Bombyx mori: one gene and its partners. The protein of the gene in region 2 interacts with the protein of the main gene of each other region in a biochemical or structural test. Links are inferred from orthologs where the notes say so. Each region holds a gene or a part of one and is shown on either strand. Other genes may lie near its edges. The genes, in order: transcription initiation factor TFIID subunit 6, general transcription factor IIE subunit 1, general transcription and DNA repair factor IIH helicase subunit XPB, general transcription factor IIF subunit 1, general transcription factor IIF subunit 2, transcription initiation factor IIB and Cdk7.

Evidence for each region.
Region 1: the proteins of general transcription factor IIE subunit 1 (region 2) and transcription initiation factor TFIID subunit 6 form a complex in vitro, tested with the Homo sapiens proteins (2 studies listed by BioGRID). The link is inferred for Bombyx mori from reciprocal best matches to the Homo sapiens genes GTF2E1 and TAF6.
Region 3: the proteins of general transcription factor IIE subunit 1 (region 2) and general transcription and DNA repair factor IIH helicase subunit XPB form a complex in vitro, tested with the Homo sapiens proteins (2 studies listed by BioGRID). The link is inferred for Bombyx mori from reciprocal best matches to the Homo sapiens genes GTF2E1 and ERCC3.
Region 4: the proteins of general transcription factor IIE subunit 1 (region 2) and general transcription factor IIF subunit 1 form a complex in vitro, tested with the Homo sapiens proteins (3 studies listed by BioGRID). The link is inferred for Bombyx mori from reciprocal best matches to the Homo sapiens genes GTF2E1 and GTF2F1.
Region 5: the proteins of general transcription factor IIE subunit 1 (region 2) and general transcription factor IIF subunit 2 form a complex in vitro, tested with the Homo sapiens proteins (2 studies listed by BioGRID). The link is inferred for Bombyx mori from reciprocal best matches to the Homo sapiens genes GTF2E1 and GTF2F2.
Region 6: the proteins of general transcription factor IIE subunit 1 (region 2) and transcription initiation factor IIB form a complex in vitro, tested with the Homo sapiens proteins (2 studies listed by BioGRID). The link is inferred for Bombyx mori from reciprocal best matches to the Homo sapiens genes GTF2E1 and GTF2B.
Region 7: of the proteins of general transcription factor IIE subunit 1 (region 2) and Cdk7, one has a biochemical effect on the other in vitro, tested with the Homo sapiens proteins (3 studies listed by BioGRID, with this or other methods). The link is inferred for Bombyx mori from reciprocal best matches to the Homo sapiens genes GTF2E1 and CDK7.

The regions. Positions count from the first base shown.
Region 1 is NC_085121.1:11,006,955-11,010,794, reverse strand, and holds part of transcription initiation factor TFIID subunit 6, read left to right. Parts: intron 1-621; coding exon 622-791; intron 792-866; coding exon 867-1,017; intron 1,018-2,185; coding exon 2,186-2,358; intron 2,359-3,840. UniProt on the Homo sapiens protein: The TFIID basal transcription factor complex plays a major role in the initiation of RNA polymerase II (Pol II)-dependent transcription.
Region 2 is NC_085128.1:9,617,505-9,621,858, reverse strand, and holds the start of general transcription factor IIE subunit 1, read right to left. Parts: upstream 2,851-4,354; 5' UTR 2,454-2,850; coding exon of another isoform or gene 2,408-2,453; 5' UTR 2,390-2,407; exon of another isoform or gene 2,294-2,389; intron 1-2,293. Other genes in the region: rab-like protein 3, read left to right, coding at 2,408-2,453, 3,671-3,880, 4,271-4,354.
Region 3 is NC_085117.1:11,798,180-11,801,679, forward strand, and holds part of general transcription and DNA repair factor IIH helicase subunit XPB, read right to left. Parts: coding exon 3,349-3,500; intron 2,832-3,348; coding exon 2,683-2,831; intron 1,632-2,682; coding exon 1,480-1,631; intron 855-1,479; coding exon 688-854; intron 206-687; coding exon 35-205; intron 1-34. UniProt on the Homo sapiens protein: ATP-dependent 3'-5' DNA helicase/translocase. Binds dsDNA rather than ssDNA, unzipping it in a translocase rather than classical helicase activity. Component of the general transcription and DNA repair factor IIH (TFIIH) core complex.
Region 4 is NC_085121.1:15,714,835-15,719,311, forward strand, and holds the start of general transcription factor IIF subunit 1, read right to left. Parts: upstream 3,066-4,477; 5' UTR 2,806-3,065; coding exon 2,782-2,805; intron 2,507-2,781; coding exon 2,328-2,506; intron 1,919-2,327; coding exon 1,784-1,918; intron 1,420-1,783; coding exon 1,318-1,419; intron 1,120-1,317; coding exon 1,051-1,119; intron 237-1,050; coding exon 121-236; intron 1-120. Other genes in the region: kelch domain-containing protein 4, read left to right, coding at 3,784-3,894, 4,250-4,423. UniProt on the Homo sapiens protein: TFIIF is a general transcription initiation factor that binds to RNA polymerase II and helps to recruit it to the initiation complex in collaboration with TFIIB. It promotes transcription elongation.
Region 5 is NC_085110.1:12,712,074-12,716,475, forward strand, and holds the start of general transcription factor IIF subunit 2, read right to left. Parts: upstream 2,943-4,402; 5' UTR 2,751-2,942; coding exon 2,474-2,750; intron 2,343-2,473; coding exon 2,131-2,342; intron 739-2,130; coding exon 613-738; intron 60-612; coding exon 1-59. UniProt on the Homo sapiens protein: TFIIF is a general transcription initiation factor that binds to RNA polymerase II and helps to recruit it to the initiation complex in collaboration with TFIIB.
Region 6 is NC_085110.1:3,773,170-3,777,743, forward strand, and holds the start of transcription initiation factor IIB, read right to left. Parts: upstream 2,919-4,574; 5' UTR 2,843-2,918; coding exon 2,760-2,842; intron 2,561-2,759; coding exon 2,450-2,560; intron 2,100-2,449; coding exon 1,799-2,099; intron 1,077-1,798; coding exon 720-1,076; intron 421-719; coding exon 259-420; 3' UTR 1-258. UniProt on the Homo sapiens protein: General transcription factor that plays a role in transcription initiation by RNA polymerase II (Pol II). Involved in the pre-initiation complex (PIC) formation and Pol II recruitment at promoter DNA.
Region 7 is NC_085127.1:9,219,090-9,222,929, forward strand, and holds part of Cdk7 (cyclin dependent kinase 7), read left to right. Parts: intron 1-651; exon of another isoform or gene 652-1,028; intron 1,029-2,476; 5' UTR 2,477-2,544; coding exon 2,545-2,598; intron 2,599-2,714; coding exon 2,715-2,883; intron 2,884-3,412; coding exon 3,413-3,547; intron 3,548-3,840. UniProt on the Homo sapiens protein: Serine/threonine kinase involved in cell cycle control and in RNA polymerase II-mediated RNA transcription. Cyclin-dependent kinases (CDKs) are activated by the binding to a cyclin and mediate the progression through the cell cycle.

The DNA of each region.
Region 1 (3,840 bases), on a different chromosome or scaffold from region 2:
TTTAGTCAACGAGAAGAATGTATATCAAAGGGTGAAAGGCAATTTGGTTTAAGCAGCATTTTTGCAACATTACAGAGGAGAACCATTTAAAGCTTAAAATTTGGAAAAAATATCATAAAAAAAACTTCTTGAGCTATTTGAATGGAGTAAAGCTAATTAATTGAAGTTCATTAAAACCGAACATAATACAAGATTACAACAATACACCGAATTACAAAGATAAATGTCACGAATACACCGAATTACAAAGATAAAATTAAATGTGTCGCGTATTAAACGAAATGTCGCTTAAACGACGAATAAAACGATACTGCTTAATAAAAATAAGGCGGTGCATGCCCACTAATACGTCTTGACACTCGTTTCGCAGTTGCACATCATAAAATTGGAGGTTTAGATTTTATGATCATAGAGGAGACCAATATTATTCCTGCACTGTAGGATTCATTCGTAAACACGTCTTAGATGCGTATTTTCTAGACAAAATGTTATCTGTCCAATCTAGACCATGGCATAAGAGTCCATAGGCCATTCTCTCTACGGCCACGCTTCAATATTTGATACTCATACATGTCTATAGGTAATTGCAGATTTAATAAGTAAATTGTATTGTTTGGGCAGTTACACGAGTTGATTCCGTCCGTGTCGACATGCATAGTATCACGACAGCTGTGCCTTCGTCCCGAGATGGATAACCACTGGGCCCTGCGAGATTTCGCCGCGCGACTCATGGCTCAGATATGCAAAACATTCAATACTTCAACCAATAATCTACAAACGAGAGTCACCAGGTATTTTAATTTGAATAAATTTTAAAGTCACACAATGTATCTGGTAGTTACTATACGAAAATTCTTTGCGCTCAGGTTGTTCGCGAAAGCCCTCCAGTGCCCTTCACAAACAAACAACGAAACGGGTCCTTCTATGGCGAGCATGAAGGAATCGGAGAAGACTCCTCTCGCGTCGCTGTATGGAGCCGTGCAAGGATTGGCAGAGCTGGGCCCCGAAGTCGTTAAAGTGAGTAATCTGTGTGCTTAGTGCGAGTTTTTTAACGTTTTCGATAGCGTGAAAGTTAGCCCAATTTTGTATGCAGTTGGAACAGCGCCCCTAGTGGCAAACGTATGCAAAAGATCCCATTCTGTACGAATATAAGCTAACTTTTACGCCATCGAGAACGTTAAAAAACTCGCACTAAGCACACTGACGCCGTCACGCAGCGCCCTCTACATAGGCGCGTTAAACATTGTCGTGCGTGAATTAACTTATGCACGCCGGGTTTTTAGTTGAATTTGATGGCTGTGTACCGGCGGCCCAGACACGTAGGCGCAGTGTTGGATTTACACTAGGGGCAGTCGGGGCAAGTGCCCAGGCCGGCATATTTTTTAGGGCGGCAAAATTTTTAGTTTTTTTTTTTTAGTTTTATCAAGATTGCTCAATATAATTAATTAATTCTAATAATTAATAATTTCCTTTTTAATTGATAATTCAAGAAATTCAATTCATCCATTATTTGTCAATTATAATTTTGGCACTTTTGGTAAAAATTAATAATCAAAATGGTTTAATCAATTTATTTCCTTGGAGATTTAAAATAATAATCGATTTTTCTATTTTCTATAATTAAAGAAATATAATTAGTTATTTTTTTTGATGAAATATAATTATGAGTCACCCTTAGTCAAAATTTGTAATTGTTAGAAAAAAATATATATATTTATTTATGTTTTTGAAATATATGACATATGATAAAGTTTCCGCAATAAATTAGTCATCCTAATTTTGAAAAATAAAATATATAAATTATAAATTTAGGTAAAATTACAGTATTGGCACGGTTTTTTTTTATTGTTTAGATGGGTGGACGAGTTCACAGCCCACCTGGTGTTAAGTGGTTACTGGAGCCCATAAACATCTACAACGTACATGCGCCCCCCACCTTGAGATATAAGTTCTAAGATCTCAGTATAGTTACAACGGCTGCCCCACCCTTCAAACCGAAACGCATGACTGCTTCACGGCAGAATAGACAGGGCGGTGGTACCTACCCGCGCGGACTCACAAGAGGTCCTACCAGCAGATTTTTTTCCGGTACCGAGGAGCAGTATTATGTTTCAATCCGACCCTGCGTAGGCGTGATAATCTGGCGATTCATGTTAGATCTGGTAAGATGACGCCTTTTTTACAGGTGTTCATTCTGCCGCGCGTGCGTTGGTTGGGAGAGCGCGTGGAGGGCGCGCTGAGCGGTATCGGTGGCGCGGACCGACTGGCGGCCGGCAACCTCAAGCACCAGCTGCTGAAAGTCCTGGCCCCTGTCGTCCGACAACTGCGGCAACCGCCCGACCAACCCGAAGACTACAAGTCAGTCACGTCTTATACACGAATCGTCCTGTTGATTTCCTATTGAACTTTTTATTACTCATGTCCGGTCAGTGATTGTCGATATTCGCGCATATTTATTGACACCTAAAAATTTAGATTAATTTTATATACCTAGGTACAGTACCAGGCAATAAATATTGCACATCGATATTTAGAAAGAGACTGTCGTCTAATTTTGTTATTATTGTAGAGCGTTATCTGTGTGCGATGAAACACCAACGATCCCGTATCTATGGAGATTAAATGTCAATTAGGTAATGTGCGACACATATAACGCTCTACAAAGCAAAAATTAACCATCTCTTTCCCACGGTCGATGTGCAATATTTATCGCCGGGTACTGTATAACATTTTCTTTATTTCTTATTGACGTTTAGAAAATAAACAATGTCAAAAAAAATGTCTAAAGATCTTCAATAGCTAATGAACAAAAAGAATATCAATGATCAAACACAGAAGAAATTTTTTTTCTTCTATAAATTGGCAATATTTTTATATAGATTACCGTAGCATTATTTTTTCGCTACATGGGCCGTTTTCCAATTACAGCACAAGAGCGCATTATGCGGCATAATGCTCAACTAAGCTTCAGCATAATTCGGCATTGTGCGTCACTGAGTCGCATTATGCTCTGTAATTGGAAAACTACCATTAAGTAATGGTTAATTGCCGAATTATGCTGAAGCATAGTTGAGCATTATGCCGCATAATGCGCTCTTTTGCTGTAATTAGAAAACGGCCATGGTTTCTGCTATCCGTCTGAGCATAGGTACCAGTTGATACAGGTATGTTATCAGACCATCAGCTAACCACTTTCCACTACATTTACCTTTAGTCAGTATGCTGAATGGTGTTTATTTTGTAACTCAATCACATTGTGGACCTCGAAAAATGAACTAGAAATGTATCATACACTGTTCTTGATGAAGAATTACTATCGCAACCTTTCGGTTTTGATTTTACTTGTGATGATTCCATATAATGTCATTATAAGAATTGAATATATATTATCATGGGTGGGCCCGGCAATTGTCTTGTCCTGATAATAATAATAAAGCCTTAACGGGTCCAATTGTAATTGGAAATTGTCCAGGGACCCCCTTTTGCGATGCAAAAATAATCATAAGAATCGGGCCAGCAGAATCCCGGCATACATACCCTCTTATTCCAAAAATAACATAGATTGCGATTGGAATGCTACCCTATGTAATGTTTTTTTTTCATGAAAGCCACATTTAAAATTACGTTAATTTTTAGTCCAAAAATAGCCAAGTGAAATGATTAAATATCTATGAACATTTTTTTATATCAGATTTACATAGATAAATTACATACAAAGACATACATTATATTATAGATATATCAGATCTAAATCAGATTCAAGTATACTGTTTTATTCAAGTTCGCAAATAAACAAGTTTTTATTTAAAAGCTTTAAAAATACTTCTATAATATTTTAGT
Region 2 (4,354 bases):
CCTAGTCCAACCAATGTTCGCGTTCGCTCGACTTCAAGCAAAATTTTGACATATACTACTTGAACTTTGAATAGACACCTATTCAGTGATAGTGGTATACATTTATAGGTTAATCTGTTTAATTTAGTTATATATTTATGTTTTTCTATTGAAATAAATTGTTGGTCACAAGACATAAAATCATTATTGTATTAAAATTTGAAGTCTTCGTGGCGTAAAGAACTAAGACGCCCGGTGCATTCCGGTGATATGCGTACCTACTTGAAAAATATTCACGAATTACTTTCACGGTGACGGAATAAGAACATCTAATAAAAATCAAATACGCAAAAATTAGAAGTTACTTATTTACAGATAGAAGGGCGTCTTGTGAACCCACACGGGTAGGACCTACTCTGCCTATATCCGTCGTGAAGCCGTCTCATGTCGCGTAAATTAAAATACGGTATGATTTAAAATTGTACCGAAAATGAACCTTTACTTCTACTTATTTTATTCGACGAGTGAATAAAAAAAAACTAAAATGAACACGCTGATTTCAGAGTAAAGTGACGTTGTCTAAAAAAATTTAATTGATAATTAATTAGATATGTATGTTTTATAAACCGTTTTTCATAAACCCAATGAGATTTAATAAAAACAGGCTTACTTAGCAGTTCATAACTTCAGGTTAGTAGTAACTCGACTCTATCAAAGGAGACTGAAACGATTACATACATTTTTGGGCCCGAATGTAACGTGATGAAACTAATATGAATTAATAGATTCAGATTTATCAGTACCTTGCTGAAAATTATAAAAGTTTTCTCAATCTGAGAGCCGAGTTAATAAAGATTTAGTAAAAGTTAGGTTATGTTACAATCTCTTTAAAAGAGCTGAATAATAACTTATTTAAGCAAGGTTATGTTACAATCTCTTTAAAAGAGCTGAATAATAACTTATTTAAGCAAGGTTATGTTACAATCTCTTTAAAAGAGCTGAATAATAACTTATTTAAGCATAAGTAAATGTTTATTATATCCATTGGATAATCATTTAAATGTCATAATAAGAGTGAATATCAATGATATATATTAGGTATGGAATATGGAATTGCTATCCCACAATTCACACAGCGATCCATAATTTCTACAGTATCCAATGCAACAATTTCAAGTCAAACGTGTGAGCGATCTTCGGTGTCCAGTGTAGAAGCAATTGTCGTACAAGGCTGGCAGAGTTGGAATCCGTAATAATAAAGCAGTGATCGTTGAAAATATAAAAACAGCCCGATAGATACACACTCAAAATGCGTCGAAAATACAAAACGAGTAAAGCAGAAAAAACCAACAAGCGCCAAAAAATAATTGTATAATCTATGAACAAACGTCATGTCAGCTTACTGTCAAAGCTGTCATCAAAAATACAATCGATTTTAATCGATTTGAAATCGATAATCATATTACTTTGTTAAGTAATAATAGACTTTTTCTTCATTTATGTATATAATCGCAATTAAATCCGGCGTATACCGTACTTGTATACAACAAGTATAAATCGTTCATTTAATTACTTTGCTTTAACTACCTAGTGCAATGTTTTTCTTTTTATAATCCTGTAATCGATTAATTAAATCGATCACACCGTTATACCGACAAAAACTAACTTTCTCATTTTTCTCCGGTCCCAGAAAGAGGATTGAGGTGATTTTTTATATTCTTATATAAAAAAATATGACAAATTTTTTAGACTACATTCCAAGTTATTACATTTTTGGCCCACGATTTTCCGTCTCCTTTATCTCTATTCTATTGTCTCTCATAAATATACAACTTCGGACACAGTACAGATGCGGTCGACATAAATATTAGTATTAATACTAAGTATGTACTGATAATGGAATGACAAATAGACTAGTAGTAGTAGTGACTTATTTTAATTGAAAACTAATGATTTTCAACTTTTTGTCGGCTTTCTTTAGTGTCAGACATTGTTACTAATTATTGATTTTACATTTCATTGGGACTTTTAATTTGGACTTTTTTACTTTCGAAAGTTTGGTTTTAAATATTTTCTTGTATGTCTTAAATTCGCGTTTCTTTTTGCGGTAAGTTGTGGATGTTGTAGCGCGCGGTGCATTGTCTATTTTCAGTATATACGCTTAATTTAAACGCAAGTTCGGAGCAGAATTAAACGTATAAAACGTAACGTTACCTTTTACCTTTTTTTTGTAAGTTCGCCCCAATTGAAATATTCCTAATCGAATGATGTAGTAAGTCGAATAATTCGATTGGAAATTCATAATCGCGTATCGTTAGTTGGTAGTACTGAAGGTATGAAGATGGTGGATTAGACATAGACAATACTGACATTGTGAATTTGTCAAACATTTTTATTTGCAAACACTTACCGACAATTTCTTCAATGAATGGCTGCGATTGAGAAAGTGAAGGTTGTGGTCCTCGGTGATTCAGGTATGCTTATTTCTTCTAATTTCGTTGTCGTCCATTTATTATAGCACATACAAGTAGGCACATAGAATTTCACAAAATAACAATACGTTTATTATAACGCTCCGCCATGACACCTTAATGATAGCCAACATTACAAAAATAGGTGCGAACGTAGTGGTCACATTCGATAATATCGATATTTGTTTACAATAATGAGAAAGTTGACTTATTGTTTTTAAATTTATCTGAAGTTTTAAAAATTAAAATTTAGTTTATCTCGTGATTATCCATAGTCGAAAACGTATTATAACATTATTATAAATTAATTCATTAATATACTTTCTTAAATAATAGTAGGCAGAAAAACTTTTATTACATTTGAATAGACATCTACGTAATATTGACGTTAGACTTTATAAAGAGGGTGTGCTAGAGCTAGTTGGCGCTCTGTTTCCACTTCCCACACCCCATTTTATATGCTTGTACTATATCTAGAATAGACATCGGGACTTAAATCGTTCACGTTAGTGAACTCGTTCACTAAATCTCGTTCCGTAGAGTGAACTTTGTGCTTAGTGCGAGTTTAACGTTCTCGATAGCGTAAAAATTAACCCGATTTTGTATGCAATTGGAATAGCGCCCCTAACGTAGGCAAACGATCCCATCCCATACAAATATTAGCTAACTTTTACGCTATCGAGAACGTTAAAAAACTCGCACTAAGCACACTGGTTACTTAAAATCGTTCCGTACTTCCTTTACGGGGAATCTATTCTGTATAGTCGTACTGCACATGGTTACAACTCCGGAATCGAAACCTTTTCAATCACAGCAGAAGCGATTTCATTAAAATTGCGATTTCTTCATACTTCAGGCAGACTTAAGACTGATAATAATAATGTGATAACTAAACAACACAAACTAAAATTAATTGAAATGTCTAGTTACCTAGTAGGTATACCGACTCGCAAAATGTAAGAGAAAGTACCTATTCTGAAAATAATGAAAATATGTGAATGAGTTCATTAAAATTTGATTCATCGGAACGAATCGCTCGCGAGCTACACAAATTTAATTTAGTATCTTTAGATTACATAATTACTATATTTTATAACGAACTTAGATTTTATTTTTGTCAGAATTTCCGTAATGAGTTTTGCCATCAGATCCATTATTGTAATCTAATTAGATCGATATATTTTTTATGGTTTCGAAATAATAAAGCATTTAAATTGTAGGTGTGGGCAAAACATCTTTAACACATTTGATAGCACACAATAAGCCCATTTTATCGCCGGGATGGACGGTCGGTTGCTCTGTGGAAGTTAAATTACACAAATACAAAGAAGGAACACAAGCCCAAAACACGTTCTTCGTAGAACTTTGGGATGTCGGAGGCTCAAATGGACATAGAAACACAAGAGATGTGTTTTACCAACCAACGCATGGTTTGTTATATTAGAAAAATATGTTTTAATTTGATTTTTTATGGATGAACGAGTTCACTGTCCATCTGGTACCACCAATAACGACTACAAATCACGTCGACATATACCTAGTCGTTTGTCAACGTTCAGACCAAAACACATGATTGCTTGGTGATAAAAAAGGGCTCCTAACCCTGTGGGTTCATACGCGACCTATCCACAGTAATAATTCAAATTTATAAAATGCATAATACACGATGCAGTTCCCATATCAAAGTTGTTTATGAATACTTGTTAAGTGCGTATTTATCATGGGTACATATGCAATCTTCCCGATAACACGAGACATACCACTCCAGAATAACATTCTTAGATGAATAGTAGAGTTAAAGAGTTAATTAAATATTTAAGGAATCATATTGGTGCACGATTTGACGAACAGAAAAAGTCAAGTGAATCTTCAGAAGTGGCTCGCTGAAATATTGAATCAGGACA
Region 3 (3,500 bases), on a different chromosome or scaffold from region 2:
GCCTTAAGTCGGTTAAAATAATGGGGTCAGTGACCTGCAGATCATGCTGTCGTCCGCCGTGGACCAGCACTTGAACTGTTGCTTCCACTGTTCCACGGAGACGCCGGAGTTGCAGAGCACGAGGGCGCGCTTGCGCACCGTGCACACCGCCGTCACGCCCACCAGCGACTTGCCGGCGCCGCACGGCAACACTATCACGCCTGACCTGGTACATACAGGAAGTGCCGTGCATTACTGAGTCGTCGTGGCCTAAAGGATAAGACGTCCGGTGCATTCGTGTCGAGCGATGCACCGGTGTTCGAATCCCGCAGGCGGATACCAATTTTTCTAATGAAATAAGTACTTCACAAAAGTTCACGATTGACTTCCACGGTGAAGGAATAACATCGTGTTATAAAAATTATCGTTTTAAAATTCGGCAACACAATCAGTAATATGTAAACAGGCAAATAAGTAATTGGTGGTAGGACCTCTTGAGTCCGGGCGGGTGGGTACCACCACCCGCCTATTTCAGCCGTGAAGCAGTAATGCGTTTCTCACCCGACCCCGAGCTTCGATTCCATCAATTGCCTATGTTAGTCAGCGTGCAATGCATGATGTCATCGTGTCAAAAATCACTGCCTTGCTGTATTCCTGTGACTGAATAGACTAATTTTGTCAGAACCAAACAAAGCAATGGCTATTCACCTCGCCCTGCCGTTGCCGAACATTTTCCTCAAGCTCTTCTCTTGATAAGGTCGCAAAACGGCAGTTGGTTTAAGATCAATGTTGATGTCCGGATTGATGGAGTCGTTCCGGAAGTCGTACTCAGCCAGCAATGGATGCTCCAACTCGATACAACGTTTTTGTATTACCTTAAAACAAAATGGTTTATAAAACAATTTTTTTTTTTTTTTTTGAACACACAGTATGTTTTAAATACCTTTTTTTATTATTTTTTCCCTATCTAAGCTTGATGGTCTTGAGAGACCATTTCAGCGTAGCCTTAACAAGTAGGTGAGCTCACGGGGCTTAAACCTGACGACGTTGCTAACATTAGCCCTAGCAAGAGCCGTGCTTCGCAGAATCTACCACCGGATCGGAAACGCGACCTACTGAGAAACTCAGTGGGCTGGGTCGGTGGGTAAGTTTACTCGCCGAGCCCTTCGTCGCAAGCGACGGGTTCGACGAAAGTGGTGACCGATGCTACGGTAGGACCTCTTGTGAGTCCGCGCGGGTAGGTACCACCACCCTGCCTATTTCTGCCGTGAAGCAGTAATGCGTTTCGGTTTGAAGGGTGGGGCAGCCGTTGTAACTATACTTGAGACCTTAGAACTTATATCTCAAGGTGGGTGGCGCATTAACGTTGTAGATGTCTATGGGCTCCAGTAACCACTTAACACCAGGTGGGCTGTGAGCCCGTCCACCCATATAAGCAATAAAAAAAATGTATGGGTTGCTAAAATTTTCAATAGGATTAATATTCATTGGCACACTCACTTCGATTTTGTCAGGATCCACTTCAAAGGCAACAGCTGCGTTGGCAGTAACACCAGAGGTCTCCTCCTCGTCGTCATCCTTATCTAGTTGCTGATAGAACTGACTGATGTCGTCGGGCACAGCGCCGTTCGCCGCCGGTGGTTTTTCTTCACCTGATCGTTTGAGAAGCAGTCAAGTAAACTTAAGACGCAGATGGACAGACAGTTACGAGATTATTTTAAGGATAAGTTTTATAGGTCACTACAGAAACATACACAAATTGCTTCTTACAAATGGTACGTCATCGTTTTAAAATTCGGCAACACAATCAGTAATATGTAAATAGGCAAATAAGTAATTGGTGGTAGGACGTATTGTGAGTCCGCACGGGTAGGTACTATCACCCTGCCTATTTCCGTCGTGAAGCAGTAATGCGTTTCGGTTTCAAGAGTGGGGCGGCTGTAACTATACTGAGACCTTACTCATATCTCAAGGTGGGTGACGGTATTTATATTGTAGATGTCTATGAACTCTGGGCTCGTCCACCCACCTAAGCAATAAAAAAAGCAAATATTTGTAACGTAACAATTTTTTATTTATTTTACCACCATTAATTACGAAAATTATAATTTTGCGGGTTTAATTTTTACTACAAGATGTTATTCCTTTGCCGTGGAAGTCAATCGTGAACATTTGTTAAGTACGTATTTCATTAGAAAAATTGGTACCCGCCTGCGGGATTCGAACACCGTTGCATCGCTAGGTACGAATGCACTGGACGTCTTATCCTTTAGGCCACGACGACTTTCCACTGTAATGCACACTATGCTATTTTTCCACTATATGACTAGTCCTGTTTATTCAAATCACACATAACATTTTAGTTATTATGACTTGAAAACAACCTCCGGCGTCACTCTATAAGTTAAGAGAGTATCTGAATTGTTATTTTTTTGTTAAATCTAACAAAACCTAAAAGAATGTTTTATAAACATTTCGTGTTTATGTATATCTATACTAATCAAAAATATTGGGACATATCACTTGATGGAAGTTTTGTTGCTCTATGTTAATTGTTTCCAATTTAGATAAACCCTTTGTTTGCAAAATAGTCAAAGGCGATCACTAGGTACCATTCGTTCGATGTTAAAACCGCGACCGCTTACAGGAAACCAACTCTAAGTATTACGCTTCGACGCCGCGTCTTGCTGAGGCATACGTCACCTGGTTTGGCGAGGGACGTGGCTGGCTTGGCGGGCAGGTCGTTGGACAGCAGATCCTCGTCGCCGTCGCGTCGCAGCCTGCACTGTTGAATCACTGGATCTTTCAATAGCTTCTGCAGTACCTCCACGTGCTTACTCTCGACTAGATACCTGCAAACTTTATATTATTACAAACAGTATTCTTGTACTACGTTTTTATATACGGTAGGCAGCGGCTTGGCTCTGCCCCTGGCATTGCTGAAGTCCATGAGCGACGGTAACCACTCACCATCAGGTGGGCCGTATGCTCGTCTGCCTATAAGGGTAATAAATAATAAAAAAACTCTAACTGTTTAAATACTCTTCTTTCTGGCTCTGAATAAACAGCTTTTAATGAACTTTGTGAAGGCATATTTTGCTATTAGCATCAGGAGGGTGGTCGCTATTTATGCAATGAATATTAGTAAATTCGGTGGCACACTCCTAGGCAAAAAATTCCTCAGAGTCGTCCCCATAATACATATGCTACACAGCACAGGGAGCATTGAAGTCCTTATACCGGTACGAACATGTTTTTCACCAGCTCATCTGAGAAGCTACTAAAAATCGTGATCGAAAAATAAAATGATTAGCCTTACCTAGCTTAATTTTATTTTAGATGGATGACAAGCAATGAAGCAGAACTGACCTGTTATGTTTTAACACCAGCTTCACTTTACCATAAGAGAGGGTACATAGTTTAATGAACTCTACGATGCCGGCCGGTACAGCACACTTGCTCAGTCTCTGCAGGTACTCAATAATGTCATTGGTCTGTAGGCCCACCGAAACTGCCGCGTA
Region 4 (4,477 bases), on a different chromosome or scaffold from region 2:
CCAGCTGACGATGTTAGAAACCAACTACGCTTTAAGTGCTTGCTTTATTTTACCATAAGACCTACCATCACCAGCTTCAGCTGACCCCACCTCTGGCTTTGAATACCGGAAACTGAGTACCTTTTTTAGCTTTCCCTTTAGCTTTCTTTTCGTCTGGGTCCTCTTCGTCTGCATCGTCGACTCCGCGGAGCCGTTTCCGTAACATCAACGAGAAGAAATTCATAACCTTGTTACGCCTAGTGCAGAAAAAAATCGATCATCGACTTCAATGAAACATATTTTGAAATGTCACTAGAAACAGCAATGGATTCGGTCCAACCATCTTTCTCATATACTATATACGGGGCGACGGAGACCAAAAAGCAATAAATTTTCAAATAATTCAAACAATAAAGTTATTGTAATCATTCTCGTATATCTTTAATGTACAAAAAATAAACTTTTTTTTTCAAATTATTAGTTTTATAACAATAGTCTGTTGCCCTGAAACAGAGATGTAATAAAGTGTTTTGTCTTTTTTCTATTTAGATAAAGCATAAGTACTCAATTCTTCAAATATGCAGACAACAATAAAAAAATATATTTTAATTTTAAGTTCAACTATCTATTATGATCTGGTTTTTTTTTTCCTATATTATATTTATCGTTACATGCAGTGCGAAAAACAATCATTTAAGCTCTAGATCATTATCGTCAAAGGATTTAGGATAATTACAAAGCACCTTCATTTTCGGGAATGACAGTCTGTATAAAATATGAGTAAATGATTTACAAGTAATTTTACTGGTGGTAGGACCTCTTGTGAGTCCGCGCGGGTGGGTACCACCACCCTGACTATTTCTGCCGTGAAGCAGTAATGCGTTTCGGTTTGAAGGGTGGGGCAGCCATTGTAACTATACTTGAGACCTTAGAACTTATATCTCAAGGTCGGTGGTTACGTTGTGGATGTCTATGGGCTCCAGTAACCAATTAACACCAGGTGGGCTGTGAGCTCGTCCACCCATCTAAGCAAATAAAAAAAAATAAAAAAAATGTCATGGACCATCTTACCTGCCAAATTCCTGTTCGGCTTCTTCAGCTGACAGCGCTTTGTATCTCTGAATCGGTTGGAAATTGTACCTGTTAGAATTCAGTTTTTAGTTTCTTAAGAATTAACTACCTTCATTTTTCTACTATATTTGAGCAATTAAAAAAGAACATTAATAACACAAAATAATAATAAAGGAACAGAGATTCACACACAGCATTCAGATTATTTTTAAATAAAATAGAAGCATTTCTTTCATGTTTTGTAAATATTGCATGAACATTCCGTACCATTCCTGGAGTGGATAGGCGTCTATTGCGCCATCCGCTGCGTGAGTGAACACATAATATGCAGCATTCTCTGATACTCCACCTTCACGAATACCTTTGAATCTAAAAATATGATAATACATGATATGAAAATTACCAGTTACATATTAATTAGTATTATATAGAGCAAGCAAATAGGCATAACCACACGTTAGTCTATAACACAAGACTTTTCATTTAATTATATGCAGTTTTTCATCCTGTTTTCAATCATTGACTTTTAATGAAAAAGGAAGAAGTTCTGATTTAATTTTATTTATTTTATTTTTATCTTCGAACTTTTTCTAGGTTAAACGATTCTGATAAATCTTTTGTTGTGTAAAAATTGTTCCAACTCATGTGAAATTAAATTATTTCTTGTGCATTTGTTGTAAAGGAACCACCAAACAATATCAGAAGAGGTTATTGTTATTTGTTAATTACTAACTTCTTGCCGGTCTTTCCACCGACTTTCAGGATCCACGGCTGGTCTTCCGGTTTGTACTTTCTTGATATTATACCGAATTTCTTGCGACGTGCTTCCTCACGCATGTCCCGTCCGTATTCCGAGCCTGCACCAAATCTGGATTTGTGTGACGAGTATTACCAAAAATATTACGTAATAGTAGTAGTATTTTAATTCCCAAGTATTCAATAATCTTGGAGCTGTTAAGATCACTTTTTATAAAGGGTGTTCATGGCAAATCTATTTTTTAAAGCATTGAGTAAATAACCTTAATTTAAGGTGTGTCAGTCTTTAGTGTCAACAATGTTAACCAACCGGTTTCCAGTTTTTGACTATTCTTTGTATTATTATCTGCTAGCATGCAAATTTTTTGAGTTACAGAATTAACTTAATATTAAATAATTATGCCATAAAATTATGACATACTTTTCACATTTATTTTTAATGATGTAGAAAATTAATTTATGATTATTAAGTCAATCTATTTGATATCACCATCAAAGAGTTGAATTTTCTTAATACTAACTTGGGCATTTCCTCTTCAGCTCCTTTGAATTCTTTGCTGTTGTTCTCTCGCTCCATCTTGACATGAGTCCATTTTGCAAAATCTACATTCAATGTGGCATTGAACCTCATAACATGATACTTCTTCTTTACATTCTTTGGCACTCTTATTTTATACTCCTGTACTGTGGCGGCCGGTGTCTGAGAAATTAATTTATTATATCTGTGAAATCGTAACTATTGTTTAAATGATTACGATACCATTCTATGTATGATTTGGTAAAATTTATCAAATTTGGTTATATTATCCTTTTATGTACCTACTTACTTCAGTAAGAACACATATTCTTGCATATTAATTTAATATTATTTTGAACCTCACAATTTGTTGATTGTTTTAAGTTCTTAAACGAAAAAGGTGAAATATCGTATCACGATATTTCACCTTTTTCGTTTAAGAACGAATAATATCTTACCGTACTACTTCCAGGTGTAGACATTTTTTACACTTATATCTATAATATCAAGATTAATGACGGTATATAAATTTATCAAATGACAATAGTCCTCGATATCATGATCTCACTAACGTACACGTTAAATTTCTTCAAATCAAATAATTTATTACGTTACAGTTTACTCTTTGATTAAAAATATTGTAATCAATTAAAACAATGCTAATCGCAAACTGTGCTGGCAAAATGAAAATTCTGTCAAATTAATGTCAAAAGTCAAAATTTCATCAAGCACAGAGCACATTTCAGTCTGTCAATGAATTTATGATCATAAGTATCAAGTCATATATGACTAAATAATATTATCATTTAACTATGCTCATGACTTCTATTATTTTAATAAACATGCAATAGTCATTAGGATTTAAAACATTTTTTTCATACGTGACGAAAAAGCAATCTTATCAAATGTTTACAGCAGCTTAGCATATTGTCGTCCAGCATTAGAAATTACCCACAAGGTTAGTCACCTCCTCTTTGCGTCGATAATCCACAACAATGAGGGTCATGGCGTCCCATAATAATTTCGCTTGGACTATCCTGCGCCAACATTGCCTATCCTTGACTTTCCGGAGGGCATCGTGGACTGAGGTGTTGAGAGTAGAGGCAGCTAGTGCAATCATAGCATTGGACTTCTGCTTCTGAACCTTCTTCCGCATACTTTGCCTGTTACCAGCAATTATTCTAAATTGTCATCTTCTTTCTGACAATGTGTCCAAAGAACTCAAAATTTGAACGGAATCTTGAACTCAGTAAGAATGTATTTGTAGGATCAAATGTTCTATCAAGCCCTTCCATCCTAAAAGTTATAATCATAAAACAGATATGGCTTTGATTATTTTGGCTGTATTCCCATTGCCAATGAAAAAAGAAAAAAAAAACTGTTTACAATAATAATCACAATACTTAAAAATCTGTTTCATAAAATATTTAGAAATTTAAGTTAATTTATTTTTCATTAAAATGGGTAAAAAGAAAAATAAGAATAAAGTTAGTGGCGCTGTTAAAACCGCAGCAAAAACTGAAAAAAAGCTAGCTAGCAAATTAAAAAAAGAACTCGCAAATCTTGGTGAGGTTAGACCATGCCTTTTCGCACTATTTATTAGAAACTCTCAAAAAGTTACCTGAAATTACGCCCTAATGGATCTAATATAGTAGTATAAACTTAAATGTTATTGAAACTAACTTACTAAAATTATTTAAATGGGTAAATTTTGTAAAAGTCATGAAAAACATAAAATTAAATAATTCGAAATAATTTATATTTTTATGATTTAATCTAGCTTTAATTATTTGGAGATAATATAATAACAAAAACTACTTCTATGATATGACGTAAATGATAATAAAAGTCATTTTGTCACTAAACTAAAGCTGAAGAAAGAGCAAGTAAAATTTTAATAGAAGTTTTGTATTATGTATATTTCAGGAAGATATAGCTAAAGTGATAGCTGAGATAGAACGGGAGGAAGCTAAACGATATGCTGCATCAGAGAAGGTCCTCGAAAAGCCACCATCCTCCAGAGCGTACGCAACGCTCACCCCACATCCAATCAATAATGAGCTTGTGCTGTTTGGTGGAGAATACCACAACGGACAAAAGGTATCAATTTCATTTTTAGAGATATTACAATATTAGGTAAAGTATCATGATGGA
Region 5 (4,402 bases), on a different chromosome or scaffold from region 2:
TTGTAATTACAGACCTCTTTCAGAATTTCTTTCAAATATACTATTGGCTGTCTGGTGATCTGAAATTACAATAAATAATATACTTAAATCGTTATGTCTATTATTATAATGATTTAATGAAAAAATAATTACATAATTCACTAGGACCTCTTGGGAGTCCACACGGGTAGGTACCACCACCCCGCCTATTTCCGCCGTGAAGCAGTAATGCGTTTCGGTTCGAAGGGTGGGGTAGGCGTTGTAACTATACTGAGACCTTAGAACTTATATCTCGAGGTGGGTGGCGCATTTACGTTGTAGATGTCTATGGGCTCCAGTAACCACTTAACATCAGGTGGGCTGTGAGCTCGTCCATTCATCAAAGCAATAAAAAAAAATGCAATTAGATGTGTTTTTTTTTATGAACATCTAATTTTAAATTCAAAGTCACTACTATTCTCAGTTTCAAAGTATGAACAGTATTATCAAAATTAGAATATAATATATACAGTGAAACAGTTTCTTTTGGCCTTTATTTTTTTTATTAAGACAATGATTAAATTTTTTGCTTAATAATGTGTTAATAATTTTATGTTTAGACAAATATAAAATCATCAGAATAGTATTTATTACCTTTTGAAGATCCTTAATATTGTAATACTGATGTTTCTCAAATGCTGCAAACAGCATATTGAGCACTGCTTCTTTATCATCACGAGCCTTTTTCCCTTCAGCCTTCTTCCTTTCTTGGTAGTCAATCTAAATATTTTACGAAATTTTAATATACAAAATTAAAAAAAGCATGATTAACATAATGAAATGAAATAAACTTAATAGAATACAAAAAGTAAAACAACTTAAGAAATTTTAAAACCTGTTGTTATTCATTGTGTCACTTGTGAAAAGTTTTCTGGTTGGTTTAAGAGCTCATAGAAAGTAAAAATATACAGAGCCATTTGTTTTTATTTACTGATGTTTATAATTTAATTTACTATATAGATGAGTGAAGAACCCCGTGGTCCACCCAGTGTAAAGTGGTTACCTCACTAGTCATCATAACATGAATAGCACCAAAAACCTTGAGAAGTCGAAATCTCAATTCTATTGTATGAGGTTTTCCTTCAAACCAATGTGCTTAGTGTGAACTTTTTAACTTCTCGATCAGAGTTGGAACAGCACCCCAAGAAGCAAACGCAGGGGCGCTATTCCAACTTCATACAAATTTGAGTTATTTTTTAAATATAAATAAATATAAATATAAATATTTACTAACAATCACGCCACGTTAACTGGTCCCGTGCTAAGTTCGTAAAGAACTTGTGTTACAAGTACCAGATAACGGAAATAAATATAATATTTTATTATACACATACATATATTTAATGTACACCCATAACCCTGGAAAGACATTTACATTTATCATACAAATATCTTACCTTGGCGGGATTCGAACCCGCGACCTCCTTGTGTAGTGACCATGTCACTTACCACTACACCAGACGGCCGTTTGATCAAGAAGTTAAAAACTCACACTAAGCACACAATGATTTGCTGTAAACATAAGCAGGAGCAATATCTACACACACCCTACTATCTGTACCAATACCACACATATATGAATGCCCACCCATCTTCAGATAAAAGGTGGAAGTACCTATTGTATTTTATACCAGCTCAAGATGCAAATTTTACAGTCTTGGCCATCCCAAGCTACTAAACATTCCCTATTTACCGTTCCACCATTCCAATTATATCAATCACTACTTATGTCCCATTAATTCCTAACCTATGGAGGACTGTTATCAGATAAGTAGCTATCAATAACTACACAATTTATAATTTTTTATATTGATCAATCATGTTTTTATTTTCGAGTTTGTCTAAATGATAACTTTGCTATACAATGGGAGCAGACATTGCTGCAACCTGTATTTTAATACTTCTAGTAGAATTTATATGAAGCATTTCATTCAACAACATATCCAAAGAGTATTGAACTGCATCTGGAGATCTCAGAGCTCTACACATGCTCTATTTAAAACTTTTTAATCATCTCTAGTTTGACTTCCAATGCAGTCAGGGGCATGTTTTAATGATCAGTTGCTGAAAAATACAGTAAATCAATCCTTTAGATTTCAACAGTAAACATACATTATGTGGATGGTCAGATACTGGTTTGAAGTTCTGAACAATCCTGTCAAGCTGTTGCACTTGTCGCTGAGGCATGGATGCTTTCTTTATTGATTCAGATTTAAGCTTATAGTATGTCACATCATCATTTGGTCTGCATTCCAATTTCTGTACAATCCTACCCTCCATGTAAAGGTTTTCTGTCTCTGGTACTACAGAGTCCGTATTTGTCGCTAAAATGGTTATATTATGAATAAACACGATTAATATAATATCGAACTTTAGACATGAAATTAATTTTATCATTGAGTTCACCAGGACATGTTAGGAGGCGTTAAATATAGATAATTATGAGACTACTTACGGGCAATATGCGAAAATACACCTAGAGATTGAGTATTAACGTTTGAAACATCAAGCTTATGTTCTTTTGGTATGCTTTGTTCACCAGGGTCCTTTAAACATAGCACTGCTTCTGACAAGGATAACTGCACTTTAGCTCTCGTTCCTGGTACTCTGGAGATCTTTAGTTTTCCTACCTCAATGTTTCCAGGAGCTTTTTCCCATTTGTTTGCTATATATTTAGGTACTTTTACCAACCATACTCCTCTACCAGTATTTGATAAGTCCAATTCGGTCATTGTTGTGGAATATAAAATCTATTAGCAGTCGATAGCGGACACTATTTTAACGGCCTTTAAAAGTACTAAAGTCGTAAAGATTTCCTTTAACTATAACTAAATCTTAGAAAATTTACTTGCACTTCCACAAAAGACCTACATAAGTGACAGCTCTCGAAAATATTAAGTGTATAATCTATGGTGACAGCTTAACCACAGATTAATATAATAAATACCGTAAAATGGGGCGATTAGGGATTGAGAGGCGAATCGGGAAAAAACCGGGAAAATCTTGCGACGCACAATATTAGTTTTATATTCGTTGCAAAATCTTCCATTTTTTGTAGTTTAATAGTAGAATGTTGAAAGTTCACAAAAAAACTCTGAATATGCATGATAATAGCTGCTAACTTATAAAAAATCGCGTTTCAAATTAACTTCCTGTGTTGGAAATTATTTTAGTGCTAGAAACTTTGCTCTCTTTTATTTATTTGATAATAATAGAAGACGACTGTGATTTATAAACGTTATTTAGTGTTTGAACCATCATATATATTAAAGGTAAGTCTCAGTTGTTATTGGTTTTAATGTATTTGATAAAATAAAAATACATGTAAAAATCTGTTGTTTTGGGGGATATTAGGGACGTCTTAGGTACAAATAACAACGAAAAAGGGGTCAATTGGGATGAGAATACGTGAAATGGAAACCACCTAAGTATAAATAGGTACAGGTTTGTAGGGTTGTCTATGTAGTTATAACAATATTTTTTAAATTTGTTGGTAAAAATCTGGTTTATTCATGATGTCTTTGTCTAGAACTTTTATTTAAAATTATCAATGTGTTATTTTATTGTTTGGTAAATATATTATCAGTTACGTATTGTTTTCTATTTTTAGATATGCCTCGCGTTTACGTATCAAAGAGTGCAAAGCCTTATAAGAGATATGATCCCTTAATATTAAAAACAGCAATAGAAGCCTATGAAATTGGGAATAAGTCTTTACTTGAAATAGCCAAGCAATTTAATATAAGTAAGTCGATTTTGCACAGACATGTAACAAGAACAATGAAATCTCGAGGTGGACAAAAATGTCTAAGTAATACATTATAAAATATTTAATATTTGTTCAGAGTGGGGGTATTCATCTGATTAATCCATGGAATAACCGACATAACTAATCTCTTAACCCAGATAAAAATATCAGCCCCTAAGTACTTACCAAGACCGAAGAAATATAAACCGTTTATAAGAAAGCTCACTCGTTCGAATTTAGGTGCTTACTCTCCCATATACAGAATCCTTTGGGACTACAATAATGTCCACGGTAGCGTGGTCTCCGTCAATGTTCATTCGGAGTTGTCCGATTGCGCTGAACTAATTTTAAGTGATAAAATAGATGTTTTTTTTAATTGTCTCACAACTTACAGGACAAATCTGTCGTGGATCATTTCCCAAGTAAATATAAATTAATCATAAGTAAATAAAACAAATAAATTAAAACCAAGTAGTGCCAACCCTAGCAAATTTCTCATTTCGTCCCAATTAACCGCAATTTCCGGGTAAATAGGGATTACACCTATTTTTGCATTTTTTGCATAAACTGGAATGCTAGTTGCATAGTTTTAAATTGGATAACAAAGATGCCCCCAAGACTCAATCATTTTGATAC
Region 6 (4,574 bases), on a different chromosome or scaffold from region 2:
CATTAAGAAGGTAGACAAGGATGAGTATGACATATTATTATTCATATTATGACAGTATCATTAGTGATCTAACTGATCAGTATAAAATATGTGAATAACATACTTATTTAAGGGGGCATATCTTTATGAGAATTCTTCTCAAGAAGAGTCATCCAGTTAGGACATATTAACAAACTATAACATTAAGAAAACTTACAAGATTTTTCAGACTGCTCACATACATTTTAAAGCAATTCTAATAGTACAAAAACATGTAGTCTACATCTGTGGTAGGAATTCAATAGGAGTTGCGAATTTGAAATCTTCAGGGAACAGTCTTGCTGCGGATGGATACATCAATTTGTAAGACTGTCGGATCGTAACGTCCGCAACACCAGCAATATCGCCGATCTCTTTCTGACTGCGTTTGTCTTCTGATGCCTGAAATAGTAATAAAATGTATATAATATCTATATAAACATGTGGTCACGAGTGACTTCCACAATAAAGGGGATGTACAATGCTTGATAAAAATCAAATACACAAAATTGTGTCAATTTGCATATTTACAGTAGGAATCCTGCCCATTTATGACATGAAGCAATCATGTTTTCAATATTGAGGATATTAAAATGTCAATTACAAATTGAATTAAATATTTCATTATTGTCATTAATTCCTTAAGCCTACAATGATGAAGAATAGGTTATAGTAGAATAGTAATAAATTTATTAATATACCTGTGAAGCCATATAAATGGCAGCTGCAGCAACTGAAATAGGACTTCTTCCAGACACTATGTCCAGCTCTCCAGCTTTCCTTGCGATATGTGTAGCTGCGCGTTGCACTGAATTTGGCAGACCCAAATTCGAGCAAAACCGAGACATAAAATCTGCTGTTGTAATGAGATCAACTGAAGTCTCCAGTGCTTTCAGAATCAATTTGAAACACCTTCCTATTTCTTTTTTACTTATCTTGCTGACGGCACAGATCTCTTTAAATGTACGTGGCACACCTTCTTGACGACAAGCAATGTAGAGGCAAGCTGAAGCTATAGCATCATTGGCACGACCCTTCAAGTTTTTACCGTCGTGAACCTGCAATATGATGGAATGCAATGCAATGAAAAATCTAATTTTTAAAATTCAACCTAGTAGGAATTTTACCTAAGAAAATTAAATTCTACTTTTATTAGAGGTTTTTTTTTTGTTATCCTTTCAAATTTTAGTGTGACTATTGAATTGTCTTGAACATTTCTGCTTCCAAATAGGTATTGTATTGAAAAATAAAAAAAAACCTTTAGAATTTGAGGTGCTATTCATTTGAATTCACCAGCTTAAAAGAGAGAACACATACAAAAGTGCTTAATCTCAAATGAGATGTGAAACATTTTCATATTTATGTATTATAATACTCTATGTATGTATGTATTAAAATATAGATATTGTTATGTAATCCTAGGTTTGTCTAATAAACATACTTAGTTTATACATAGTAAATATAGTATAACAATCAATGCACATACTTTCTTTTCTGCATCAACCAACAGAGAACGACTTAAATGTTAACTTAGCCAATATACATTAATATGCAAGAATCAGTACATAACATAAATAAATAATAAAAATAATAAAATAAACGATCAATTCATAAAAAATAACAAGTTTTTCTGTTGGCAATCTCAATATGATGCCATATCGACAGAATGCTGAATCTCTTGGTTGATTTAGGATAGCTATGGGAAAGATGGGATAATACTATTTTATGGCACAAAAGAGTAACATATTTAGATGTTTGGATACTAGAGTACTAAATTTACCTGTTTAAAAAGATTGTTTGCTCTGTCCACAATAGTTTTTGGAAGATTAATTCTATCCGCCATTGTGTTGATTTCTCGGAATGCATTGATTAAGGCTCTATCTGTGCTGCTTATGTTTCTTCTATTTTGATATTTGGAAACTCCAAAGCTGTCAAATGATGCATCTCCTCGTCCTGGCCCAATGATAGTTGACAAATCACCTCCAGATAAAAGTGGGTTTTCAGGACCACCAACACGAGACGGATCTACTCCAGACTTCTCATTGCTAAAAGTACGCCACTCCGAACCGACGTCTATGACTCTGCAAGGTAAGAATTTTTTTACTAAGAATGTAGCAATTTAGAATGTTTCTTTTGTCATTTTTATGTATCAACTCCAAAATTTTTCAAAGCACGAAAAATGCGTTTTGTGTATTAAATATTCTGTTCACTGTTACTTCAGAAAGTTCACTTAGCCTCCGTGAACTTCATAATATTCTTAAAGAATTCCCGTAACATTAATGTGAATGATATTCACAGTACAAATTGATTATATACCGACCTCGAAATATAGAAATCAAATGCGTCGCTATTGAAGTTGTTGTTACGACATGACAGTAGAATAGCGCGCGCGTTCCAACGTTTTGTTTCGCAAATAAAGGTACTAACTTACCTGTCTCCGACCACCAAACCGCATTCAGAACATATCATATCACCCGCTCTGTAATCCTCGATAAGGGGCGCATCAGGGTGAGCATAGCAAACCACTTTATTCGCCTCAATTCTAAAAACACAAACAAAAGTAGGTTCACAATCTAACAAGTAGAAATCGTATGCTATTTTAACGCGATTTTAAACACCACTTAAGTACTATCACCAACTTACTCATCACGAATATCTATCGTATTGCTTATCGGCTTTGTATAAATGAACTAAGTCTCGGTTTAAAGCTAATATAAATAAAATAACACAGAAAAACAGACCTCGATGTACTCGCCATGGTGGTCAGAAAACATAGACAATACTCCAAATATTTTTTTAATGTCGTTGTCAATTTGAATACCATAAACACAGTTTTGTTTTATTCTTTGATCTTGACAGGCATGTGACATAGTAAAGGGTATTAAATCATGCACAAAAATGAGTAAACATTATTAAAGTGAAGCAGCGCTTGTGTCTAGTTTTTCCCCAAGTATCGTACTTTATTAGTGAATTACTTTGATAATAATGTGGTTGTTCTAAATTTAATGTAGGAAATTATTAGTTTAACTGCTAGTAGTGCTGCCATGCCAACTTGGTTTCTCAAATGCAAGGGATATTCAACAGTATGAAATAGTAGATTACGCATGATCAAAGACAGGTCCATGATATTATATAGTTCTGTAATTAATATGATCAGTCTCGCGTGGAGCAAGGCTCCATGGGCCGGAGTTCTCAAGTATCAAATTATTTCATGTGGGACCCCATATGAAATAATTTCTTCTAAGAAAGCTGTTTGGACTATCGTTTCCCCTAATATCACAAATATTTTAAAATACTTTCGGGCTTACACAGAAACTTCATTTCTGTCTAGGTGTTATAAATCGCGATAGCGATAGCGCGGAGCGCTCTTAGATATAATTTTTTTAATTACATCTTATTAAATTTCTATCTTCTTTAGAAATAATTATGCAAATACGAAGTAATTTAAATTCCCTATCTCGGTTTTTTAACTACCTGACTTCTTATCTTTTTTTCAGTATGGCAATCAATCATTATCCTCTTGCGATCCCAATGATGGGATCCCCCTTATGAACCCAGCGTCGAGCTTATGTCAATGTATAATAATCATAAATGATTAATAAATACATACATACATGCACAAAGTAATTTTTATATTAAAATTTAAATTTTGGTACCTAAATAAAAAATGAAATGGGGCGGAATGAAATGAATTTGAATTCTCTGGAATTGTATCATCAGCCTGGATAAAACTGAATAAAATTAAATGAAATGAATCGATATAAAATGAAAAATAAAAAGGTTCCAGTAAAAGGAATTTACTGAGACTTATGTGAACTTTTTGAAAAAACTCGAGGAACTATGTTTGGCTATTTTAATTCATTTCTCAACATTTATGCACTTTTCCAAATGTATACATAATTTTATAACAATACACTCATTAAACAATACCGGAAATACCGGTGCTCACACAACAATCAGAAAAGCCTCCGGTTTTCACGGCATGGCCGATAGATGTCGCTATATTACTCTCCACCGGAATCAGAGTTTTCATTACCTATAAACTTTGCATTTTTTATGGCTTTTGCAGACGGACGAGCATAAGGCCACCTGGTGGTCAGTTATTGACGTCGCTCATGGACATCAGCAATGTCAGAACCACAACCAAGTCGATGCTTACCGGTAAGTACTCTCCATAAGGCTAGTTTGAAGAATGAAGTCATGGGGCTCGTGAAGCACGGTGAAGGAGAGTTCATTTCGCAGTCAGAAGATACGTGCCAAAAAAGATCTCTGGACATGCACCGCCGATGAGCGTACTTGTGCCCGATCCAATAATATTGTAATACTATCTTATTTACCAGATACCAAATTACACTAATAATTGGCAGCACAAACGAGTAGGATGGTCCCGTGCATGCTTTCATTATAAATACTTTACCCCTAATTAGGGATGGGTAGGAATAAATTGCAAAAGTGAAGGCAACATTTTTTATCCATAAATATTATTTTGCTTGTCCTGACTGACTGATTCATGTGCACTTAAGCCGCTGTGGTTGCAAACTTAAAAAATTGACACA
Region 7 (3,840 bases), on a different chromosome or scaffold from region 2:
AGACAAAGAAGGAATTCCTCCTGATCAACAGCGTCTCATCTTTGCTGGCAAGCAGCTGGAAGACGGACGCACCTTGTCAGACTACAACATTCAAAAAGAATCCACACTCCATCTTGTATTGCGTCTTCGTGGAGGCATGCAGATCTTCGTAAAAACTCTGACCGGTAAGACCATCACTTTGGAAGTAGAAGCTTCGGACACAATCGAGAATGTGAAGGCGAAGATCCAAGACAAAGAAGGAATTCCTCCTGATCAACAGCGTCTCATCTTTGCTGGCAAGCAGCTGGAAGACGGACGCACCTTGTCAGACTACAACATTCAAAAAGAATCCACACTCCATCTTGTACTGCGTCTTCGTGGAGGCATGCAGATCTTCGTGAAAACTCTGACCGGTAAGACCATCACTTTGGAAGTAGAAGCTTCGGACACAATCGAGAATGTGAAGGCGAAGATCCAAGACAAAGAAGGAATTCCTCCTGATCAACAGCGTCTCATCTTTGCTGGCAAGCAGCTGGAAGACGGACGCACCTTGTCAGACTACAATATTCAAAAGGAATCTACACTCCATTTAGTGTTACGTCTACGAGGAGGAATGTAATTTCACATACAATCTGTTTTAAAAAAATAAAAAATATACATAGTCAAGCTTACAAGTTCTTTTATTCTCTATTCCATTCTCCCTCAACAAAGTAAAAAAAGTAGAAGACTTATGAGGTCTTAAATAAACTAGGATTTAACTTTGATAATTATGAAGTATTGATTCGTTTCTAAGGCGCCATTTGTAATGACGCCTAGCGTAGATTGCTAGTAAGCTTTGGTTATATATCCATAAGTGGATTGCACGAAGCTGGCATCTGATAAGTTTTAACTGCAACTGCCGTTTTACTGAAGCTGGCCATTTTCGTCTAACCTTTGTATGTCTATAGTTAGTGTGTTTTCTAAATTGATACAGAAATGTCCGTTTGAAGAACTTGAATTATTTTTATTGAATTGATACAGAAATGTCTGAAGAACTAGAATGATTGTTATGTGACCCTTTGCGGTAGGTAGCGGCTTGGCTCTGCCCCTGGTATTGCTGAAATCCATGGGCGACGGTAACCACTCACCATCCGGTGGGCCGTATGCTCGTCTGCCTACAAGGGTAATAAATAAAAAAAAGAAGCTATTGCTACTGATGACAATAGCCAAAGCGCAATTCACTATATTCGAAAAATTGCCCGTGGCCCTTGAACTGCTGCATTTCCCGCTGGATCTTATTAGGTCCAGTACCTAATAAGATGCCAGTTGCGATGCCAATTCAGTGGTAGATTCACCCGAAAAACAGCTACTCTTATGGTCTTAGCTGAGTCCTAATGGGTGCGCTCGAGCAGTTGTTAGCAAATTTCAGACAAATCAACTTCTCTACTCTTTTGTTAGCTTGGTAACGGTTATTTGTTCGTATGTAACGGAATCTTTAATCTAATTAATTTTCATCATCTTCGAGACATCGGCCTAACATGAAAATTTGTACACGCATTGAGGACCGATTACAATACAAGATTTTTTATCTTCGCTTTAATATCTTGACCAGCATCAACAGGATAAAAAATGCTGAATATGATTATTAATTCGGTTTGCTATTTAAGCGTGTTTTTGAAGTTATACTTCTTTAGGCGCGTTATGAAGAATTGATGAGAGTTATATTTTACGATGCGCGCGCACCGTGACACAAAATTAACAGAATGAAGTTGCCCACTAAATCGCTCATTACAATACGACCGACGTAACTTGGTGAGTCTGAATATAGTCGCAGGTGAACTTTCCGAACCGTACCGAGAATTACCGAATTTATACCATGTCAAGAAAAGGGATGTCCAATAAGCGTGTTTGAGGATGTTGTTTAATCGTTTTTTTTTCAAATTGTTTAAAATTTAAATAATAAAAAAAAAGAAATAAATTTTATAAAAATAAAGTATAACTTCTTACGCGCGTACATAAGTACACGCACCCTTTTTTAATTTAATAATATTATTTTCGGCGTTTCCTATTTTTTATAGTTTTCGTGTATATTCGTTTATATGTGTATTTTCGTTTATAGTATTAGTCAGGTTCATCTGTATCTTTAATTATGTCTTCTTCTCACGAAATTTGAAAAAAATACTAAAAAGTAATTCATTACTAATAATTGAAGAGCCAACACTGCAGTATGAAACCTTGAGACAGCCAATAATAAGGTTGACGCTGGTAGCAAGGCTATCATAAGAAGCCGATTGCCATATTGAAAAACAACGAGAGAAAACAGCATTGACTTTAAAGACTACAATCCAGGCCTTAAATAAAAAAAAGTTATGACAATTAAAAAATTCAAAATATTCAAATCAAACCACTCATTCTTGACAGTACCTGTGCAGTTCTTTAGAAGAAATAATAATAAATTTCCGAATGCTTCATACAATATCCTATCAATATTATAATTTAAACTATTTCTACTTCACAGGGTGTGGTAAACAATGAATAATTTTGCTTTTAAAATTGTATGAACGTGGAATTAATAATTATTTGATCATGGAAGAACCAACTTTACGATATGAAAAAATTGACTTTTTGGGCGAAGGACAGGTAAATAAAATAAGGAGTTTAGTAGGTAGCAATGATAAAGACTATTAATACATACTAGGTCATTTATAACCTCAAAATAAAACTACTAAACTAATACAATCCACCACAAATTTCAGTTTGCAACTGTGTACAAAGCAAAGGATGCAAAAACAGACAAAATTGTTGCTGTGAAGAAAATTAAGATAGGATCACGTCTCGAAGCTCAAGACGGAATTAATAGAACTGCTCTTAGAGAAATTAAACTGTTACAGGAACTGCAGCATATAAATCTAATTGGATTATTGGGTATGTATTGTAGGAAGGATTGTATGAGATCGTAGATAGCTTATCTTCTTCAATTTTAATCTGATTAATTGTAAAGATGACAGGATGTAGCTTAGAAAGTAAACATCATTTATTTACACCCATTTTATTCAAATAGTCAAAATCAAGCAGCGAGGAAGATACAATTTCCTAACCTACAGTCGTGAACTATTAGTTCAGAATAATACCACCCTAGAAGTGAGCTTTGGGTGTTGTAATAGGTGACTAATCACCAGAAAAAGAGGAGCTGCATTCTCTAAGTATTCAACCAGAATACGACCATCATTAAATGGTCATTCATCAGGCCTCATATGTTCAACTGTTGTCTATTTCGGCCATTATGTGTTCTTCTTTGAATGGTAGGACAGAAGTAATACGATTGAGATTTAGAACACTTAAAGTGGACAGTAGTATACACATTGAGATGACAAACTCAAAATAAAACTATTATAAAATTACTATTTACTTTAATATCTTAAAAATTCTTAACCTACAATTATTGGCTTTGCAGATGTATTCGGACAGAAATCAAATGTGTCGCTGGTGTTTGACTTTATGGATACAGACTTAGAAATAATAATAAAGGACAATACTATTGTACTTACCCCAGCTAATGTTAAGGCATACATGATAATGACTTTGAAAGGTAAGTTTACATACAAATGTATTTTTTAAAACCTACAAATTTACTGTAGGCCAAGCTTAAAGCCAGCTTACCCTATTTTAAATTTCATATTTGTAATTTACAAATGTTTTGTGAAAAAGTTCTAAGTTTAAATTCATTGTCAGTTAAGATTTTGTTTTATTTTATAAGTGTTTGTTACTTTATAATAAGTTGTTTAACATTGGGACATAAATTCTTGCATCTGTTTGAATCTTCTAGTACCTATGTAAGATGACTCTGCATGTCACTTTTTTGTAGTGTCAAACACAGCATTG